2 linked regions of the Oryzias latipes genome follow. The protein of the gene in region 2 purifies or fractionates together with the protein of the main gene of each other region. This does not show direct contact. Links are inferred from orthologs where the notes say so. Each region holds a gene or a part of one and is shown on either strand. Other genes may lie near its edges.

Region 1 (3,828 bases), on a different chromosome or scaffold from region 2:
CAGAAGAAGAAGCAGCAGCCCCTTCCCGCTTGTCCAGTGGGAAAATCTTAGGTTGAATGAATGTTCTAGAACCCATGGCTCGCAAACCATATCTGGCTATTTTGATGGCCACATTTGGCTCTTAGACAAATCTTTAATTATAATTTTTTTTTCATCAGACCAGTCCTTCTCGGGCGTGATGCCTGGGATAGCCGTGCTTGGAAAATAAAAATCTGCCCCACTATCGGTTTACTATTATCTGTTGTATCACAGAGTTTGTAACAGCCTGAAACCTGCGATCTGCCGTCCTGCAGCTGCCACTCCGTCTCTGAGGAAGGAGCGCGCAGCTGCAGGAACAGGATGTAGGAGAAGGGGAGGGGTAGTGGGCTCTGGCAGCGAGGTGAAACGCGCACTAATTGTCAAAACTTAGAACACGCTGCCCGTCACATACCACACACTGCAGCGTGTGAGTATTGCTGTACCGACGTCTGCATGTCAGCAGTCTTTGTCCAATCTAAAGAACATTCAGACCAACCTACGATCACGTTTAACGGATGGAAGTCTCAACGCCTGCATGAAGCTTAAACTCACCACGTATCAACCAGACTAGACCATCAGCAAAACCACCATGCAGCACCAGAAGTCACATTAATGCTAAGAAATACTCATCATTTATTAACAACAGTATAACAATGTTATTAAAAAGAATCAACAGACTTATTGTACTTTAAAAGTGTTGAAATTGCACAAAATGCACACATTCACTTGTATTTTTAGTTTTAAACATATTGTAGTGACTCAGTTGGACTGGGTGGCTGTTGGGTCGTGTCCTAAGTTCTGGAGTTCATTGAACGCATCAAGCAGAGATGCTGATTGGCTCTCAGTTCTGTCGCTCAGCCTGTGGTTGGGGAGTTTGGACCAATGGGGTTCAGCTACGGGCCGAATAAGTACCGTATTTTCCGGACTATAAGTCGCCCTTTTTTTCATAGTTTGGCAAGGGGTGCGACTTATACTCCGCAGTGACTTATATTAGAGCTAAACTGAAATAAACATTGTTAATCCTCCTGTTATGTTCATTTGTGAGGAACATTGATGATGTTCCTGGGTCAATTTGATGTATGAGGTATGTTAAGTGTTAAGAGTTTGTTAAGTGACTCAGAGAATCAGCAAACCTTTTTTTTAAATAAGATCTTGAAGGCTAACATCATCATATTCTATTTTCCAATGATTTCATAGATTCAGAAATACAATAGAAATTACTACATTCTACAAATACAGGATGAAAACAGAGTATTAGTTGGCCAATGATGCTTCATGAAAGGAATAAATAAATATGAGAAAGAATTACTGTGAAATTATGAGATAAACAGTCTGCTATGATTGTGTCATATGAGGTTGTGCAAGTTATTAGTTCTTGGTCTCAGATTTTGTCAAAAGAATTTCCCGTCAAAATGCGACTTATAGTCCAGTGCGACTTATCTGTGTTTTTTTTCTACTTTATAATGCATTTTTGGGCCTGTGCGACTTATACTCTGGAGCGACTTATAGTCCGGAAAATACGGTATATAGGAGGGCTGGTGCGGGAGGAATAAAAGGTTGGGTTAAGCGCCCTTGGCGAAAGAGATTCAGGAGTTGCTGAATAAGTTGTACGGCGTTGGTTACGGCCTGCAGTAACCAGAATAAAGAACCTTAAAAGAGGTAAAGTCTCCGTGCCTCAGTGTGGGAAGGGACGCTACAATACTGAATGGCTCTCATGGAATTACATTTAATGATTTGTGGTGTTTATGGCTCTCTCGGCCAAAAAGGTTCCCGACCCCTGTTCTAGAACGTGCGTTAAGCTTTAGAGTAGAGACGCAGGCAGAACAAAAACTATTGTTTAAATAGAGAATTAAAGATAAATATTTATGTCTAAAGGATTTATATTAAGATTACATTGCTTCTAGATCAGAGCATGATCTTTGTAGGGCTTTTTAGCAAAGCAAAGACGGATCGTAGCAAAGGAGATGTTAATTTTTTTTTTTTTTTTTTTTTTTTTTTAAAACGTCCACATCTGAAGCTTTGATCCAAACTTTGGATTTTCACCAGGATGTGAATTATCTCAGGAAATAGAATCTCACAATTCAAAATTACCATTTTAAAAGTTCACTTTAAACAGCGAGAAGGAATTCAGCTCTTCGGTTAGACTAACTCCTCCACCAAGCATTCCTCCATTCATCAGGGCAGCCACAAAGATATTCCCAGACATTCCCAAAAGGACAGGAAGGACTGACTCAGCAGAAACCGTTCCTGAAAACATGACACACCATTTCCCACCACACTAACCCCACAGTAATCCCTGTGAGAGCACCGCTTTCATTCTTCTTTCAGCCGCTGTTTACCAACAACTAGTGAATCATGGGAATCATAAACGACTGTTTGGTGATCTGAAGTTCATCAGCAAACAACGCTGCTGCTGACGACAGATTTAAAGCCTGAAGGCGCCCCGGCACGTCGATGAGGAAACCAAAAGCAACATTGGTGTGCCTCACCTCGTCGATGTTACGCAACCATTTGCTGATGTTTTCAAAGCTCTTGGTGTTGGAGATGTCATAGACCAGCATGATGCCCATGGCTCCTCTGTAGTAGGATGTGGTGATGGTGTGGAACCGTTCCTGGCCCGCTGTGTCCCTGCAAACAAAAACAGTAACAAACTCAGCAGCTCCTCCCACGTAAAAGACACTTCAGAGCCAGCCCCCTAAAAAGGTTCACAGACTCAGAAGAAAGCAGAAACATTTCTACCAAAGCTGCAACTTTTAGTTTTTCAACAAATCAATTTAGGATCAAACATCGATTATAAAGCTTCCATTTCTGGTTTTATCAAATCTCATCAGTTTATGATGCATCCTAAAATAATCACATCTAGTAGTTTATACTTCAGGATGCATTTGTTTTAATCTGAAAGGGATTCTAGATTATGTGTGGGTGTTAAAGATGCTATTACTTCACTTTCCAAGAACAGGTTTAAACCTTGATTCGGTTCAATACCTGGCTAAAACAGAGAGGAACAAGAAGACCTCAGCTGTTATTCTCAGCCTGCTTTCCACACCAAACGCGATTCACGCGCCAGAGGCGTCAAGTTTCATGTTAAGTCAATGTACAGCTGCGATCAGAGCTCCAGTGGCGTTGTTTTATCATTTGGCATGGCGCCTTTGTCCAGCAGCAGTGCAATTTCAGCGTCACGGCACAATTTGGGTGTCATAGCGCATCCACAGTTCAAAATTCTTTGCTTTGGCGAGGAGGACACATCATGACAACTAATCAGGTGACGTGTTCAGTGATGATCAGTGGGTGGAGTCCAAATCCATTCATGCAGAGAAGCTGGTCGTTCTCGTCCCAAACTTCATCTTTTTCTTATTTGCGTCAAGACAAAAATAAAAATAAAAAAATCTAAATTTTATTTGTATTTTTGTCCTTCCTCTGGCTAATGCAGGACAGCAAGTCTACAGACTGGGTCAGAGAGACGGAAAACCACAGGAAACAACAGTCATTCAGCTCCTGTAGTAGACAGTGAAGCTTAACGTACCAGGAGAGTCTCTGAATGTCAAGACATGGAGACATGATTACTGTCGCTTTGTAAAACTCTTCAAAATAAATAAATCCAATCTCTAGACATCCTGTGTGTTTCCCATGCAATGTATATAAGATATACACAGGCACTGCTCTATGTAGCGATCCGATTTAAACGCAGGTAGCATCAGGCTAATGTCAACAACGCTAATGTCGCAGAGCCTCAAACCTCCAGCAGAAAGTTTCTTACGAGGACCCACTTTCTAAATGTTTCCACGGTAACATGTAGCTGACGGGAGACTG
Region 2 (3,045 bases):
AATTTTAATTTATTTTACAAAAAGAACTTTCACCTTTTTTTCTTGTAAAACTATGATTTAAAAATAAAAAAATGATATATTTTAAATTTGTAAGATTTTGATTTCTCTCTCGTAATTTTAAGTTTTGTTTTCTCAAAATGTTACAACTATATTCTCATAAGATTTTATATTTTTACCTTTTTTTTAAATTTATGACAATTTATTTATTATTTTAATCTCATTATATTTAAACTTTATTCTTGAAGAATTTTGCCTTTTTTTAATCATAATTTTACGCTTTTATTCTCAGTAATGTTTTTACATTTTCTAACTTTTACTCTTTTTTTAAAAAATTGTATTTATCTATATAGCGCCTTAAAATGACTGCAGTCAAACAAGGTGCCTTACATTGAAAACCCAAGTTTTAGGATTTTTTTACAACTTTATTCTCTTTAAATTTCGACTTTTTTTTTTTACAATAAAAAATAAAGAGTTTTCCCTTAATTTGATTATTTTTTTCTGACTTTATTTTCATGAATGTATTGTTGTTTTCTTTTATGGTGGCCCTAACAAAATTGAGAAAAAACTGAAGAATACAGATTTTTTTTCTTCTCGAAACTAAAACTAAATCATAAAAAAGTAAAAAAAAAAAATATTTTTTCCCCCCGCAGAAATACTCTTTTAGATTTTATAAATAAGTCAATCTCTGAGGGTTTCTTCACAAAAATATCATGTTTGCCTTTTTTTCTGCATGAAGCTGCACACTCTGAACAATGCGGATGATGGACGCGTCGTCTGACCGACATTTTTACATCATTTCATCCCACAAATGTGTAGCTTCCACACAAGTGGAAGGATTTTTTTAAAGACCCTTTAAACGGTTTTAGTCCGGGTCAAATCCTTCTCTGTCCTTCAACATTTCACGTGAAAAACCTTTTCTCTCCAGAACATCGTCAGAACACCATCTGTTCCCTGGAGGGGGCGGAGCTTGAGCCGCGGCGGCGGTGGTCACAGGTGCTGCAGAGCCTCCTGCGCCTGCTCCGTGTACACGTCGTCCTTCCACAAGCTGAAGCTGGAGTGAAGCTGGCCGCTCTGCTGCGAGCTGCGCCGCTTATCGCGTGAGAAGAAGCTAAACCTGCAGAGAAGAAAGGCGGGCAGACGTTCTTCTTACAAACTTTTACAGCAGCATTTTAGAAACAAACGCTTAGAAACCACACAGACTTCGGTTTAGCCACGAAAAATCTGATCAAAGAAATCCTGTGGACACGCCTTAAAGGTTACTTTGCTGTAAATGTTCTTTTTCAGGGAAAGTTTTGTCCTTTTGTCACAGCGAACAATTCACAGCTTAAAATCAACCTTTGACCCCTAACCTCAAGCTCAAAACACGCTCACTGCAGAGGACGGCCAGGATGTTTCTGTCGGATTAGCATGAGCGCTTTTAGCTCTCCAGCATGTGAGCTTGTTTTTTTTGTCTTTTCTTGTTTGCGGCCATCGTGTTAGCTTGTTTTTATTTGTTTGCAGCGCACATGTTAGCTTGTTTTTTTTGCAGCCAACACGTTAGCTTGTTATATTTGTTTGTAGCTTACGTGTAAGCTTGTTTTTTTTTCTTTTTTCTTGTTTGCAGCTAATGTGTTTGCTTGTTTTGTTTTTTAGTAGCTAACGTGTTAGCTTGTTTTTTTTGCAGCTAACATGTTAGCTTGGTTATTTTTTGTTTCTTTTGCAGCTAATGCGCTCGCTTGTTTTTTTCTATGTTTGCAGCCAATATGTTAGCTTGATATTTTGTTTGTAGTTAACGTGTTAGCTTGTTTTTTTGTAGTTATTTTTGTCTTTAGCTAACGTGTTAACTTGTTTTTTGTTAACGCTATTGTGTTAGCTTGTGTTTTTTTGTGTGCAATCAACACGTTAGCTTGTTATTTTTGTTTGTAGCTAACGTGTTAGCTTGTTTTTTTATGTATGAAGCGTGCGCTGACTAAAAGCAAACCGTCACCAGAAGCCAGCTCTGAGCAGGAGCGTGCGCAGACGTGCAGCCAGGACTTACAGGCGTTTGATCCCTGACTCCTGTGGTGGAGAGGAGCGCGAGCGATTCCTCAGTTCAGGGGAGGGAGACGGAGAGGGAGTCACGATCTCCTCCTCTGCTTCATCACTGCAAAGACAAAAAGAAACTTGGCTCAGACTATCACCTGGAAAACAACAGGAACCGTGTGATGAAGGGGTTTGAAGCCAATCCTTTACATTTTTGATTTCCACCATCTTAACAGGATATGACATCACTGAACCTCTTGAAAAATGAGTAGGAAGGCGGCAAAGCTGACTGTTATTAACACAGGGAACTGAATGCAGGTTAGTTCCACATGTAACCTGTAGATGGCGTCTTAGTCAGACAAACGGACTCAGTGTTATCTTCTGAGGAGGTTCCATTTAACGCCTGACAAAAATGTACATTTCATGAATATGAGCATTAATAACATCATTGAGATTAGGTTAGAATGATTGATTGACAGATGGTCGTGGAACCATATTCCAGGTGAGTGTATTGCACCTGTTTGCCCATTTTTGGAAAGGTCAAGTTTTGACCACAGAGCTAAAAAAGTGGTTCTAAAAGAACCCAAACAAACCAAAAGGTCCATTTGTGGATGAATGCTCACCTGTTCACTTAGACCACGCCTCCATTTGACCAGATTTAAAACGAAACAATGGGGTTTAGACAAAAAAATATATTTGACAAAAAAGTGGAAAAACCTTCGTGAACTGGCCGTAAATGGGTTTATTGATTTAGTAGAACTAGATGGTTTCACATTTCAGTGAAAGGAGACTTAATCCTGTGTGTAAAGACTCTGACCTGACTCGGCTCCAAAGAATTTGGTTTTCAAAAGAGCTTCATTACGGAAGTAGACAAAAATGATAAACGGAGGACAAATATGACATATTTAGAAAAATCTGGAATCTTTTTCAAATCAATGCTGACTGTGCTCTTTAGATCCATAACAACATTTTTTTTAATTGTTAAAAAGAGTTTCTGAACAAAAGAAAGGTTGTGGTTTTTGCAGAGGAGAGCTCGGAGAAGGG

Evidence for each region.
Region 1: the proteins of rilpl1 (region 2) and rab10 purify together in Homo sapiens (co-immunoprecipitation; 3 studies listed by BioGRID and IntAct, with this or other methods). This does not show direct contact. The link is inferred for Oryzias latipes from reciprocal best matches to the Homo sapiens genes RILPL1 and RAB10.

What each region holds. Positions count from the first base shown.
Region 1 is NC_019882.2:17,731,264-17,735,091, forward strand, and holds part of rab10 (ras-related protein Rab-10), read right to left. Parts: intron 2,647-3,828; coding exon 2,508-2,646; intron 1-2,507. UniProt on the Homo sapiens protein: The small GTPases Rab are key regulators of intracellular membrane trafficking, from the formation of transport vesicles to their fusion with membranes.
Region 2 is NC_019870.2:2,567,422-2,570,466, reverse strand, and holds the end of rilpl1 (RILP-like protein 1), read right to left. Parts: intron 2,123-3,045; coding exon 2,018-2,122; intron 1,115-2,017; coding exon 988-1,114; 3' UTR 647-987; downstream 1-646. UniProt on the Homo sapiens protein: Plays a role in the regulation of cell shape and polarity. Plays a role in cellular protein transport, including protein transport away from primary cilia.